2 linked regions of the Struthio camelus genome follow. The main gene of each other region encodes a partner of the protein of the gene in region 2 in a complex. Links are inferred from orthologs where the notes say so. Each region holds a gene or a part of one and is shown on either strand. Other genes may lie near its edges.

Region 1 (7,816 bases), on a different chromosome or scaffold from region 2:
AAATCAAGCCAAATATATACATATTTGGCTTGTCTTTAAAAGAGTCCTCTTCTAAGATAGATCCTTGAGGAATCTAAGTAGAAGCTTGCTAGCAACCCAATACTTTCCTTTTCACATCTATCTGGCAGCATAGCTTCTCGCTGGCTAGTTCCTTACTCATTCTTCAGTTCTTCTGAAGTCATCCTCTCTAGTTTAGTTCTCCCATTTGGGCTTCAGTAAAGCACCTGGTAGAGCACAAGAGAGTAAAACTGGCTGAACTGATCATCCTATAGGAAGTAAAGTGACTAGTGACAAGCAGAGATACCAACCAGACAAACTACTTCTGATCTGCTTTTGAAGATCACTCCACATGTTCCCATTATCTCCACATCCAGTTATTCTTCCTTTAAAAAAAAAAAAACCACACACCAAAACCACACACACACAAGGCCTACAGGCTCCCGGGGTTAGACCAAACTTACACCTGTACAGACCCTTATTTCAAGCTGCTCTTGAAGAAGGGCATTTGCTGCATTCCTTAATCATGTAAAACACCGTAACTCAACCTGAGGTCTATTAAGTATTCCTAGAAATTCCACAGCCCTTTACCACCCTTCCTATATGATGATTTTGACCCCTCCCCCTTAAAAACCACACACACATCAAGACTACATATCAAACCATCTTCATCTTTTGATTTTCCTCAGTTATCCAGTCCTACTCCAATTGTATTTGTTATCCTTTTAATGCTTTCACATCCTGCTCTATCAAGCCCCATTTTGTTTCTGAAACTTCTTGTATTTATATACACACACCCACCTCTTATTTCTTACTAACCACACCTAGCACCCCAGCTAAATTAAATATGACATACCTGTACTCAATGAGAGCACTCTCTCCAATGCCTGCTTTTAGCCATAGGAGTTCTTTATCCATCTGCATATCCTCATTTACCCACTTTCCTCTTTATAACAGGAAGTCTAGTTCAACCTGCACCATGTGTCTTGAGGTTGCAGAACTAAGTTTCAGACAGGTAGCAGATAAGCTTAGGAGATAGCAAATATGGAAGCTAGAAGAGTTATGCTGTTAGTCTAATAAATCAATATAGAAATACATGAAACTAGAGTCATCAGCTTGGAAGAAGTATATTTTTGAACAAAATTAAGTAAGGAAAATAGCAAGATGAGAACCATTCACAAGTAGATTCCATTAGAGACACAGGAACAAGCAAGTAGTTTTAAAGTTCTCTTTACGTTTTTAATCCTAGTACCTCTAGTATAACAGGTTTGTTTTCAGATTGCTGTCTTTCACAATAACTTTTTTCTTTGGGTGACTCTCCAAATGGGAAGAGAATGGAGAAGCTTCTTCCTACAACTCAGATCTAGGCCAGGTTCAAATCCTACAGGAAGCTAGCAGCTTCCTTTTTAAGCATATTCAACTATTTGATTTTTAGGTATGAAGTCTTCCAGAGTGGGATTTTCTTGCTCATGCCCGCGTAACACTCGAGCACAACAGGCCCTCGACCCAAACTGAGATAGAAACAGATCCCAGAAGAAATGCATCTCAAATGAAAACATTTAGGTGTTAAAAGAATTAAATTTCTGACTCGTGGGTTGAAATTGTTCAAGTAGTCTTTGTCCTAAATCAATCTTGCTCATAAAAGGGCACTTTTACATCTTCAGAAACGTGCAAAGCACCTTTCTCCTTCAGAGATTCACTCCCTTTTGGAGACCTAGAAAGCACAATCCACATCAAATAATCTCAAGAGCAATACACCCATAGAAGGAAAGAAAGACAGACCCCAACACAGGTGCTTTTTCCTGTGTTTACTGCAAGGATGAAGCCAGTATGTTTTCAGTTCAAGACAAAACCATCCACGGGTGTCACAGAATCCTTAAAAAAGGTACCGCAAATAGACAATAGGCAACGAGGTGGGGAGGGAAAAAAAAAAAGGCAATTTCATTCTTCTGTTTGGACAGAAGAGTCGCTGAGAAAAGAAAAAACAGAACAAGTCTAGAATGCTTTTGCCACTTCCTCAAATAGGAAGTGGCATAGATTTGTTGCCTTTTTTTTTTTTTTTAAATATGAAGGTTATTTTTCTACCCGAGCTCCCGACAGCACGGGTCCGCCCGGAGAACAGCGGGCGCGCAGGCAGCCTAGCAGAGGCGCGCAGCTGCGGCAGGTGAGGCGCGCTCGCACCCCCCGGCCCCAGGTGCGCCATGGCGGCGCGCCCCGCGGGGCGCACAGGAGGGAAGGGGAGGCGGCGGCGACCAACAGCAGCAGCGCCGCGAGGCCTAGCGGCTGCCCAACCCACCTCACCCTCCGCGGCCCCACACGCATCCGCGGCGCCGGGCGACGAGGGAGAGCGGCCGAGGCTGGGCAGCGCCGCGGCCCCGACTAGGCCGGGCCGCGGGCAGCGGCAGCAGGAAGGGCTCCCCCCTCCCCGGCGGGTCGGGAGGCGGACGGCGACCTGCTGCAGCTCCCCCCCGCCGCGGCAGGCCCGCGAGGGCCCGGCCGGGAGCGGAACCGGCCGGCGGGCACCGCCGCGGGGGCCTAGCGCGCTCTAGGCCCGGCCGGGCGGGCGCCTCTCGCCGGCTCCACCTCACCTGGGCTCGGGGAGCGGGTGGCTGTGCAGCTTGGCTCTGTCGGCGGCAGCCCGGTCCCCGCTGTGGGCACGGCGAGCGGCTCCGCTTCGGGCTGGGCTGGGTTGGGTTGGGCAGGGCAGCGGCCGGGCCGAGTCTCCGCCTTTTTCTGGGGCTCCCTCCGGCTTCAGTTCCGCTGGCTCCACTGCGCCCCCATCACCTCCCCCCGCCCCCGCCAACCCTTATCCAAAATGGCGGCGCCCCTCGCACGGGGTTTCCCCTCCCACTCTCGACGGGCGCCGGGGCCGCACAAAGGTGGGCGCGAGAGCCCGCGCCGCAGCCAATCGCGGAGGCCGCGCGCCCCACGGCGCCCGCCTTCCCGGCGGGGCGGGCCACGGCGCCAGGCGCGAGCGCGCGCACCTCTCCCCCCCACCTCCCCCCCGCTCCATCGCCCCGCCCCATCGCCCCGCCCCGCCCCGCTCCGGCGCGCGCCGAAGGGCGGGCGGGAAAGCGGCGGGCGGGGCGGCGGTGGTTGCTCGCGCGCTCGCCTCACGGGCGCTCGCCTCACGGGCGCTCGCCTCACGGGCGCTCGCCTCACGGGCGCTCGCCTCACGGGCGCGGCCCCGCCCCTCTCCTCAGGAGGGCGCCATGGCGCAGCGGAGCCGCCTGCCGTGAGCGTCCTGAGCCGTGAGCCCGCCCAGGTGAGGGCGGGCGGGTCCGGGCGCGGGAGCGCCCAGCGGGTGCCAGCAGCCCAAATTGATGGGGGGGGGGAAGGACACGAGAAAAGCACACATAGGCCAAGAAACACCATAAAAACGAGACCTGAAGGTCTCAAAATTAGACCTGTGGGGAGGGTCTCGCGACAGTCCAACGTCTTGTTGCGCCTAGGTCGAGGGGCAGGTGTGAGCCCGCACGTTCGCTCTACCCAAACCGATGAGAGAACAGGAGGGAACCTCAGTCTGGCAAAGGTGCTGCCACATCCAGGCCTCCCGGAAAGATGATGGTTTACTGGAGTGACCTACGGAGTAACACAAGTGCGATGTGTTGTAAAAGTGCCAATATGGGATGATAAAACATCGATACTATGACTAGAACGTTCAAAAAAAAAAAGGCTCTGGATAGTAATGCAGCTTTACGTTCTAATACAGATTACAAATAACTGAACAAAAATAACATGAGATACTAATGAAAGCATCTTTTGTATGCAGATGTGATAAACATACTGCTTAAATCTACTGTATGTGCAAAAGGTGAGTGAGCAAGTGTTAACACTGAAGAAAATCTCAGCTTTTCCACTTTTCCACTGTGGAAAAGTAAAGTGATACTCCTGGAAGCTGCCCACCAGACAGGAAATCATACTGCCCTTTGGCCCTTGGTGTTCCCACCTGAAAAGTCACTACTGTAGCTGCCTCCAAATTACTACATTTATTTTTTTATCTGACCTACAAGCACAAGTCAGGGTCTTTCCTAGGAACACAAGCTGTGCACAAAGCACGCAGTACAAAGACCTTCACTCTCATTCTTTTGTTTCAGCCACCTCGGGGAGTAACACCTTTGTAAAAGTTCAAGCTCACAGAACAAAGCAAAAGAAAAGTGCTTGCAGGGTATTCCCACCAATGATACAGCCAGTAAGTACAATTTTGAGATAAATAAGCCTTAGCTAGTGTTTTATCCCAGAACCAAGACCATTAGTCAAGCGTAAAGGGAAGACTCCAAAATATTTAACGCATTAGCTAGAAAGCACTACAATATCCATGTTTCCTGAGATGAAAACATGAGGTAAAAGTAACATTACGAAGGATTCCGTGCATCTCCAGTTCAATAAACTTACCTAGATTCTTATCTCAACATACAAACTTCTATTATATGAACACAGAAATTACAGAAACACTTAACTTCAGACAGTCAAAATCAAGAGTAATAGTATTTCAGACTAATTTTCAGATTTTCAGTTTTACTCTACATTGTGTTTAATTGAAACTCCTTTGAAATTGTATTTTTGGAAAGCTTTAGGGCCTAAAAAACCTGTTAAAGCTGGTTACAGCTCTATTTAAAAAGAAATTATTACAAGAGCTGCTAGAGGGCAGCCACACAGCGTGTTTTCAGTGCATGATTTATGGTTTTGAAAATGAACAGGATGCTTTGTCAGCTTCAGTGCAACAAAAGCCAAGAGCTTCAATTAAAGCAAGCAGAGAGATTCTACTTACTCATTTTAGAATTGAAAGTTGATGAAGGCTTAAGTGCAATTGGAAAGAGCTAATAGTTCTCCCTGCCCAAATATATACTTGACACTGAATTTAAATAAGCTAACTTCCTCCCCTAACAGATTACTAAAGGATCTCGCACATCATAGAAAGCATCAACTTCTGTTGTGTCTCAGTGTCCAAGATGCAAATTGCACTTTCACATAAAACAGCATGGAACAGTTTCTGTACATGCCAGTGATATTAATGTTCCTATGGAAATATGGTTCCAGAATGGACATTTCCATCTCTAACTACTATGACATTATTAATTCCATTTTCTCAATGTAGCAATATATAGGGAATCCTCTGCTTTCTGAAATAGCTGCTTTCAGTGAATCACTTGTTCCCTAATAAATACTCAGCCTACCCAGCTCCCCTACCAGGGAGCCAGTGGAATGCTGAACTCCAGATCATGTGGGCAGAAGGCTCTCACCGGGCTGAAAACCATACGTGACAAACAACTTGCTTCTTTTTTTGGCTACTTCTACAGGAAAAAATAAGTACATAATATCTATGAATAAGAAAAAGCAAGGACTCAGTAGAAAGATATAAAATCAAACTATTATAGTTGTGTGACTACTGTCAGTTAAAATTTTTTCTTCACAACTGCTATTGTCAAGGTTTAAATTTGTAAATAGATAACACAGTGCAATAGAAACATTTTAAAGATTTGCAATACCTTATGTGGGGTGATTTGTACTAGAAAAATAGGTCAAAACAATCAGTAAGAATGATTTCCACAAGAGGGAGTCTTCCAAGAAAAATGATCTGAATATTTTGACCCAGTTACAGTCTGGTTTACAGTTCCTTTACGCATTTGGTATTTTCCTCAAATATTATATTAGCACAGATGCTATAACATTTCCTTAACAACTGTAAAATTATATAACAAATTCTTAAAATAGCATATAAAAATCAATTCACTACTTTTTATTTATGTTTCCTTCTTGGTAGAATTAGTTGAACAATGTTAGCTTTTCTGTTTTTTACAAAAGGGAGTTCATGATAACTGCCTTCATCTGTGATGCCCTAGTAAGGATGACAGATTACAAAGCCTGCAAAGGGAGAGATGGTGTAAGGAGCCGATTTGAATTTTATCTGCTCTTTCAGTGAAAATTCCAAACTGTCCTAGTCCTCTCACTCTGGGAGCAAAAAAACTGCTTGAAGTTAGTGCAAAGAATGTCCCTGGCTTTTCTATATGGTTTACTAATACCATTGCAGAGTTCAAAACTACTTGCATACTATAGAAAGAGAACATTATACCTCTTCCCTGACTCTAACAGGACAAACACTTCTCCTGTGTCGTGGCCGCAGATACAATTTCTTCAGGATTACTCAACAATTCTCCAAATTACTTAAATCTGAAGAGTGAGTTGTAGAGACCTACTTTAATCCTGAACAGGATGAAAAGCAATTTTGGAATATAGTCATTGTTATTTCTTATTTACCAGAAAATTAGAAGCCATTATGTAGCTATGAGCAAGACCAGTCTTTCTTATCTGAAACTCGAACCTCTGTGATTTACTCCCAAAGATATTTTATATAAAATTGTCATCATTTTTCAAATGAGGCAAAATGCAATACAGATTTGCTTTAAAGGCTGTGGTCTTGAATTGTTTTTTGTGCTTTTATCACATATTCCTGTAAAATTTTAAGCATTAAAAAGATTTTAGCAAGACATAGAAGACTGGGTAATAAGCATCTATATTTCTTCTTTCTTTTATTCTTGTGTGTGCTTGAAAGCTTGCAACAGTATTTCAACAACAGTTATTGAGAAAAGGCTGACTTCAGCCTATTCATTCTGAACATCTGGGCAGAACCTAACAACTGTAATTAAAATCCACTAAATTGGTAGCAATACCAAATTGCTAGAGAGGGAACACTGCGTATTGTCCCACCCTTCTCTGTGGATTTCTGTTAGGTCAATACAGATTTCAGTGCTCTTGAAAATACTTTCCTTTGTGTCTCTTTCTGAAGTCTCCATCAAGAAAGAACTGCATCCAAATTCTCTGGTCACATGAATGTTGCTCTTGGATCGTTTTTTTTTTTTTTTACCACAAATCTAGGAAAATTAAAGGCTCCTAGTTCATACAGTTGGTAGAACATTTCAGGATTCTGTTCTTTTCAAATAAATTATATACAATGATCTCTGTAATACCTGCTTCCTTGTTTTAAAATGCATCCTTGTAAAATATTTTAAAATAATGATTGAATTACATTTTAGCATTTGTGAAGAACATGGACTGGAACAGTGCAGAGAGTAAGTCATTTTTTATCCCAATCATTTCCTTTTAACCAAGGATAGCAGTGAGAGGCTTACTTTAGCTACTCCACTTGAACAGAAGCACCTCCAGGTTGAGCAGTTGTGGTCCCCCATAGTCTATTCAATCCTTGCCAAAGTCTGCAGTCAGTGACCTCCGCATGACCGTGCTACCCACAAAATCACCATGAGCAAAATGTAGCTCTTTTAATTCTGTAAAGGTGGCCCTAGTAAATACGGACATCCACATGTTTTAACAACTGGAGGTGCACTGAACAGCTTACTTAGCACACATTTCTGAGACGGGATTAAAAGAGTCACCATAGCGTTCTTCAGGACTCTAGTGTGCCCCTTTAAAATAGCTTAGCCCAAGGACCAATGGATAATGAAAAATGAAGAAAACATACTGTGAGCTTTCAGAGCAGAAGGGTACTGCAGCATCTGCTTATTGCTGTTCCTAAGAGTAACGTTTAATGACCCCTTTGCTTTAAACTGCTTTAAAATGCGCTAAACAACTAATTTCTTTCTGCAAAGCTCTTCTGAATGTCATATTCCTACTGGTACAAACTGTCAGCAGTGTATCATTTCAATCCTGCAGTCAGTTCATTTCCTAGTATTGCTGTACACACTCTCTGAAAATGTAGTATTACTTCTTTTATTTCAAAGTTCTCTATCTTTGATATAATATATTGTATCGGATCTACCTACTATGCTATGATTAATAGTTCCACCAATAAGAGGGTTTATTG
Region 2 (7,362 bases):
ATTACAAATGAACGTTCACGCTGCCCTAATGCTGTCGACTCGTAACAAAACGGTAACTATCCCTCCGATTTTAAAGTAATCCACAAGTGTTTAGGTTAAAAGGTGCAAGCATGACACAGATCTGGCACTCAATATTACAGGAAAAGTCTCCCAGTTTGGTGTCTTGCAAACAATAGTTAAGTGAATCCATACAACACCGAGTTATCTACTCTCACGCATGACTAGGCTGCGTATTCGTTAAGAAACACGTATAAACAGTCAGCTTGTATAGTACTTCCATTCACTACCAAATCAAGAAGGTGTTTCAAACGCACTAAGTTTCTTTAGTCAAATTCATTGTTCTGAGCATAAATTGTCAAATATTTATATGCCAACGTTAACAAGGAAACCGGAGCCCAGAGCAGGGCTGTCCTGAAAAAAAGCACCAGGTACGTTTCCCCGGGCTATTAGAGCCCCCCCAAAGACCAAAGCAGAAGCGCGCCCTGGCCAAGCAGCCGCGGGGGCCAGGGCCCCCCGGCCTCGTCCAGGGCAGCAGGCACCCCCCGAGCGACGGGGCCCCTGACCGGACACACCAGGAGGGACCCTGCCCCTCGGCACCCCTCCATGGGGCACAAGGGGCCCCCATCTCCACCCCAGGGTCTCCCACGGGGCACAGAGGTCCCTATGGGACACAGGGCACCCCCATCACTGTCCTCGGCCCCCCGAGACGTAGAGGTCCACGTGGGACACAGGAGGTCCCCGTCAGCGACCTACAGGGCCCCATCACCCCTGGTGACCCCCCCCCTCCATGGGGCACAGGGGGCCTCCCCAGCACCCAGCCAGCCCCTGCTGCTCCACCACTCTGCCCACCCACACAGGCCTCCCCAGCCCCCCAACTCCCTACGTAAGCCCCTGCCCAGACCCACGTGGGCCCCCCCAACTCCCGACAAGGACTCTTTGAGCTCCACAGATACCCATACAGATCCCCTAACTCCCCACACAGACCTCCCCAGCCCCACAGAGCCCCCAACTCACGACATGCACCCCCCCAGCCCCACACTGAGCCCTTACCTCCTCACAGAGACCCCCCCAGGCCCGTCCCCAGCCCCACAGAGGCCCCTTGGCTCCCCATATGAACCCCCCTCAGGCCCCCTCGCCCCACACAGACCCCCCCAGCTCCCTGCCCAGGCCCCCCCACCCCACACAGAGCCCCCAGATTCCCACATAGAGCCCCCTCGCTGCACATAGAGGCCCCAGTTCCCTACCTAGGCCCCCTCGCCCCACGCAGACCACCCCCCCCAGCTCCCCACCCAGGCCTCCTTGCCCCACATGGACTCCCCCCTGCTCCACACACAGATCCCCTCCCCAGCTCCTCACAGAGACACCCTCGCCCCACACAGACCCCCCCAGCTCCCCACCCAGGCCCCCGGTCCCCATACACAGCCCCTGCCCAGACCCCCCCCCCAGATTCCCACCCAGCTCCCCGCTCCCCACACAGAGCCCCCAGCTCCCCACTGAGAGCCCCTGCTCAGTCCCCTCACCCCACACAAACCCCCCCAGCTCCCCATCCAGACCCCCTCGCCCCACACAGACCCCCCCAGCTCCCTGTCCTGGCCCCCACTCCCCACACAGACCCCCCCAGGCCCCTGATCCCCAAACAGAACCCCCCCAGCCCCCTCACCCCACACAAACCCCCCCAGCTCCCTATCCAGACCCCCTCGCCCCACACAGACCCCCCCAGCTCCCCGCCCAGACCCCCTCGCCCCACACAGACCCCCCAGCTCCCCACCCAGGCCCCTGTTCCCCACACAGACCCCCCCCCAGGCCCCCTCGCCCCACACAGACCCCCCCCCGCTCCCCGCCCAGGCCCCCGCTCCCCACACAGAGCCCCCCCCCCAGACCCCCTCGCCCCACACAGAGCCCCCCCCAGGTCCCCTCGCCCCACACAGACCCCCCCGCTCCCCGCCCAGGGCCCCGCTCCCTACACAGAGCCCCCCCCAGGTCCCCTCGCCCCACACAAACCCCCCCGCTCCCCGCCCAGGGCCCCGCTCCCCACACAGAGCCCCCCCCAGGTCCCCTCACCCCACACAAACCCCCCCCGCTCCCCGCCCAGGGCCCCGCTCCCCACACAGAGCCCCCCCCAGGCCCCCGCTCCCCACACAGAGCCCCCCCCAGGCCCCCTCGCCCCACACAGACCCCCCCAGTTCCCCCCCCAGGCCCCCTCGCCCCACACAGAGCCCCCCCCCAGACCCCCTCGCCCCACACAGAGCCCCCCGCTCCCCGCCCAGGGCCCTGCTCCCCACACAGAGCCCCCTCCAGGCCCCCTCACCCCACACAAACCACCCCAGCTCCCCGCCCAGGGCCCCGCTCCCCACACAGAGCCCCCCCCCCCAGGCCCCCTCGCCCCACACAGACCCCCCCACAGTTCCCCCCCCAGGCCCCCTCACCCCACACAAACCCCCCCCGCTCCCCCCCCAGGCCCCCTCGCCCCACACAACCCCTCCCCCGCTCCCCCCCCAGGCCCCCTCGCCCCACACAGACCCCCCCGCTCCCCATCCAGACCCCCCTCGCCCCGCCCAGACCCCCCCCCGCTGCCCGCCCCGGCCCTCGACGCACCCGGAGTGGCGGCGGGCGCCGTCGGCGCGCAGGGCGGCCAGGTCGACCTCGGCGCGGCCCAGGAACTTGTCGAGGCCGACGAGGGCGCGGTGGAGCACGGTGAGGCGCAGGGCGGCGGGGCGCGGCGGCGGCGGCAGCTCGAAGGCGGCCTCCTCGCGCCACTCGGGCCGGCCCTGGCAGCGCTCCGCCACCGACGTGGAGAACTGCTCGCGGCCCAGCGCCATCACCGCGTAGGCGTCGCTGCTGCCGCCGCCGCCGCCGCCGCCGCCCGCCTTGGCGCGCAGCCCCCGCGCCCGCAGCACCGTCACCTGCACGTGCGTGGGCGCCCAGCGCGCCGCCGAGCCCGCCGCCTCCATGGCGCAGCGGCAGCGGAGCGGAGCGGAGCGGAGCGGAGCGGGAGCGGGACCGTCCAGCCCGGCCCGGCGGGGAGCGGCGCGGAGCGGTACCGCCCCCGCCGCGCGCCGCTCTCGCGAGAACTGGGCGGGGCCGGGAGAGGGGGCGGGGCCGGAGAGGGGGCGGGGCCGGCGAGGGGGCGGGGCCTGAGCGGCCTCTGGGGGGGTGCGGGGAGGGGCTGCGGGGGGTGTGCAGGTGTGGGGGGTGTGTGCGGGGGGTGTGCAGGGGTGTGCGGGGGGTGTGCAGGGGGTGTACTGGGGGTGTACTGGGGGTCTGCGGGGGGTGTGCGGGGGGTGTGCGGGGGTGTGCAGGGGGTGTACTGGGGGTGTGCAGTAGGTGTGGGGGGTGTGCGGGGGGTGTGCGGGGGTGTGGGGGTGTACTGGAGTGTGCGGGGGTGTGCGGGGGGCATACAGGGGGTGTACTGGGTGTCTGCAGGGGTTGGGGGGGTGTACTGGGGTGGGGGGTTTGCGGGGGGCGTACAGGGGATGTGCAGTAGGTGTGGGGGGGATGTACAGGTGTGGGGGGATGTGTAGGGGGTGTACAGTGGGGTCTGCAAGAGTGTGGGGGTGTACTGTGGTGTGCGGGGGTGTACAGGGGGTGTACAGTGGGGTCTGCAAGAGTGTGGGGGTGTACTGGGGTGTGCGGGGGTGTACAGGGGGTGTACTGGGGGTCTGCAGGGGTGTGGGGGTGTACTGGGGTGTGCGGGGGTGTACAGGGGGTGTACTGGGGGTCTGCAGGGGGTGTGGGGGTGTACTGGGGTGTGCGGGGGGTGTACAGCAGGGTGTGCAGGGGGCATACAGGGGGTGTACTGGGGGTCTGCAGGGTGTGCGGGGGGTGTGCAGTAGGTGTGCAGGGGATGTACAAGTGTGCAGGGGTGTACTGGGGGTGTGGGGGTGTACAGGTGGGGGTGTGCGGGGGTGTGCTGGGGTGTGCAGGGGGTGTACTGGGGGTGTGCAGTAGGTGTGCAGGGGATGTACGGGTGTGCGGGGGTGTACTGAGGGTGTGGGGGTGTACAGGTGGGGGTGTGTGGGGGTGTGCAGGGGGTGTACTGGGGGTGTGCAGTAGGTGTGCAGGGGATGTACAAGTGTGCAGGGGTGTACTGAGGGTGTGGGGGTGTACAGGTGGGGGTGTGCGGGGGTGTGCTGGGGTGTGCAGGGGGTGTACTGGGGGTGTGGGGGTGTACAGGTGGGGGTGTGCGGGGGTGTGCTGGGGTGTGCAGGGGGTGTACTGGGGGTGTGCAGTAGGTGTGCAGGGGATGTACGGGTGTGCGGGGGGGGGTGCCGCGGGTTTGCAGGGGTGCACAGCGGGGTGTGGCGGTGTCAGCCGCTTTGGGAGCAGCCTGCATCAGCTGCTTCCCGGGGGTTACACAGCCGAAGGCACCCCCGCGGCACCCCGTGCCCCGTCGTCGCGAGCGCAGAAGTCGGAGCGGGCCGGCGCCGGGCAGCTCGGCCCCCGTTTGGGAACCCACCCGTCCCCCTGCGAGCTGCTAGGGACAACGCGCCGCCCGGGAGCGCCACGTGTTTTGGCGCCCTAAACGGGACGTGAAGCATTGGGCCACACGTGAACGGAGACACCCGTTAGCGCCGCTCTCTATGAACATGGCTCCGAAGCCGCAGCGACGCGTCCTCGCGCCGGCCGGGAGCCTGGACCGAGGACGCGCGGGTGCCCCTTGAGCCAGCAGCCGAGGAGGCAAGCTCCGGGGCCGCTCTCTGTCTCTGAGGAGCGCGCTCCTCTCTCCCCTCCTCTCTTCTCCTTCCTGGGCAGTCAGGCTAACGGCACCGTCTCGGTGACCCCGGGTCGGTGTTGGCTCCCCTCGCCTGCGCTGACGCTTCTGCGGAAACAAACTCCCGGGAGAATCCCATGTCCAGCACCTGAGGATCCATTTAATGAAAGCCGTACGATTCAGTTAATGAAACAGCAGCTATCGCCAGCCCCCCAAGCCCTCGCGGGAGCCAAATGCTTTTCACCCCCTCCGCTGCGCTCCTGCAGGCCTACTTCCTTGCTTAATTTGGAATAACCACGTGTTTGAAGGCCCAAAGCAAAGCGTGCAGCTGCGCCTCGCCTGCTGCCGGCCCCGGGAGCTGCCGCCCGCTCGCACCTCGCTCCAAGGCAGGGAGCCGCGGCACGAGGCACAACCGGTCCGGCAGCGCAGGCGGCGGCGCCCTCGTGCCTCCTGCCAGCATGCCGTGGCGAGGGGCGCGCTGAGCCCAGCAGGCGCGACGGCTCGGGCTGCTTTCGCGGCCTCTCCTGCAGCCCCTCTGCGCAGCCCCCGCGCGCTGCCTCGCGGCCGCGCTCCCGCAGAGCTTTCCCCCGCTTTGCCCGGCCTCCTTCCTCTTTTTTTCTCCCCCCTTTCTCTTCCCCATCTCCGCCGGGCAGGAAGGGCTTGCTCCAGCCGGCCCGCAGCCCAGCGCGGCGCCCCTTTGTCGGGGGATTAGCCGGGCCCGTTCCAGAGAGGAGCAGGGCCCCGTCAGCAGAAAATCCTTGTGTTTCCAGTCGTCCCGCTGCTCTGCTCTGCCGGCGTCTGGCCAGCGGCCCGGGCGCGCCGGGGAGGAGAGGCCGCGGCGGGGTGGCCCGGCTGTGCCGCCCGGAGACCCCAGGTTCCTCGGGTCCCTCGGCGGGTCCGTCACGGGCCGCGCGAGCGTTAACGACTCCCTGGCAATGCGTCAGCGGGGAACGTCGCTCTGACCCTGCGGGTTTGACTGGGCTGGCAACCGCGTGCTTATTTCTCTTGCGCGTTGCTGAATGAACGCTGAACGCTTCCCCCAGGCTGGACTTTGGGCAAGGAAAGGGTTTCCTTCTGCTGAAGTTTGCGTCCCAGCAGAGGAGGTGCTGGGGCAGGCGGCAGGGCGCCCGGAGCGCTGGCTGAAGCGACCCGTGCGTGCGCGGAGGCTGCGAGGAGCGGGAGGGCGTAGGGGAGCCGGGACCCCGTGCCCAGGCCTCAGAGCATGACGCTCACGGCGACGCAGTTATTGGTGGGGATGATCCTCTGCTTGAAGGTGAACATCTTCTTCAGCTCGCAGCGGAAGCGGTCGTGCAGCCAGGCGTAGAGGAAGGGGTTGCAGCAGGAGGAGCTCATGGCGAACCAGTGGCACAGCAGCTGGATGAGCAGGAAGTAGTGCTTGTTGATGAGGTTGATGTCTATGTCCCGGATGATGTTGAAGACATGGATGGGGAGCCAGCAGATCCCGAAGGCCGCCACCACCAGTACGATGAGGCGGAAGATCTTCCTCTTCCTGACCCGGTCAAACTCGGCCTGGCTCTGCGTGGGGTGCCCGGGCACCACGCGGTTCTTCAGCTTCACTGTGATGCAGATGTAGGAGAGGGAGACTGCTGAGAGGGGCAGGATGTAGGTGATGATGAGGGTGCTGTAGGCGTAGGCCAGGCGCTGCTGCTCCTTCTCCATCCAGAACTCCTCGCAGATGGCGAAGCCTTCCCTCCGAAACTCCACGTGGTAGGTGTGGGCGATCGCCGGTGCCACCAGGGCACAGGAGAGCAGCCAGATGCCCCCGACCACGTAGACGCAGCTGGTGACCGAGATGCGCTTCCTCAGGGGGTGCACGGTGGCGTAGTACCTGCGGGAGAGACGCACGGTGAGTGGTGCCCGGTGCAGCCCGCCCCGTCGCGCAGGGTGGCCCAGGTAAGGCTGGGCTGCTAGCTGCGCGCCCCGGCTCATTCGCCGATGGGGTTGGACAGCCGCTTTCTCCAGGGGTGGATACCCACAGCGGCGCTCGGATGGCTTCCCCTCCGGGCTGCGAGCACCCATGGCCCGAGAGCGGATCGCGGCGGGTTTTGCAGGCTGCTGCTCACCGTCCCCAGGAGCCCTGCTGTCTCGCCAGTCCGGGAACCACACGGGAACCGGGAACCACACGGAACCGCAGCCACCACAAAGCCCAGCACAAAAGCCACAGCCAAGCCTCTTCCCCAGGCATCAGGACCCGTTCCTTTCTGCTTCTGTCAGTCAAACACCTAACGGCCCTTTGCTTTTGTTTCAGCACCGTGACATTTTTCTCTGACATTTAATTACGGCAGAAAGGCCCAGCACAAAAGGAAACGAGGCTCCGAGGCTCCGAGGCTCCGTGGCAGCAGCCCCGGCCGCCCCTCGGGAAAAGAGTTTCCTGGGGACAGAGGAGCAACAAGGCGTCTCTCTGCCCTGCCACAAGGCCCTGTGTTAGGCGGCAGGTTGCTTTTGTTTTGGGAAATGAGCCCCTATCAGGTGCGTCTGGCTCCGTTCAGTTCCTCGAGCATCCCTCTGATAAAGTTTCTCTGAATCTGACTTGAGGACTCCAGGCAACACTTTAAGTGAATAAAAAAAAAGCTGCCAATTAATCTTTTATTTCCTCCATCTCTGTGCATCTTGCACTCTTCTCCTTGCAG

What was found. Proteins that work in one complex are often made in the same cells at the same time.
Region 1: the proteins of RAB11FIP1 (region 2) and RAB14 are in contact, whole or in part, in a crystal structure (PDB 4D0G), measured with the Homo sapiens proteins. The link is inferred for Struthio camelus from reciprocal best matches to the Homo sapiens genes RAB11FIP1 and RAB14. Residues at the interface, in NP_001002814.2 of Homo sapiens: Glu1252, Ile1255, Asp1256, Asn1257, Leu1259, Val1260, Met1263, Pro1267, Asn1268, Leu1270, Arg1271, Ile1272; in NP_057406.2 of Homo sapiens: Leu28, His29, Ile44, Gly45, Val46, Glu47, Phe48, Gly49, Trp65, Arg72, Arg74, Ala75, Val76, Ser79, Tyr80.

What each region holds. Positions count from the first base shown.
Region 1 is NC_090961.1:2,921,000-2,928,815, reverse strand, and holds the start of RAB14 (ras-related protein Rab-14), read right to left. Parts: upstream 3,004-7,816; 5' UTR 2,586-3,003; intron 2,476-2,585; exon of another isoform or gene 2,299-2,475; intron 2,162-2,298; exon of another isoform or gene 2,098-2,161; intron 379-2,097; exon of another isoform or gene 309-378; intron 225-308; exon of another isoform or gene 157-224; intron 1-156.
Region 2 is NC_090968.1:6,998,157-7,005,518, forward strand, and holds the start of RAB11FIP1 (rab11 family-interacting protein 1), read right to left. Parts: upstream 3,017-7,362; 5' UTR 2,952-3,016; coding exon 2,596-2,951; intron 1-2,595. Other genes in the region: prolactin-releasing peptide receptor-like, read right to left, coding at 5,927-6,560. UniProt on the Homo sapiens protein: A Rab11 effector protein involved in the endosomal recycling process. Also involved in controlling membrane trafficking along the phagocytic pathway and in phagocytosis. Interaction with RAB14 may function in the process of neurite formation.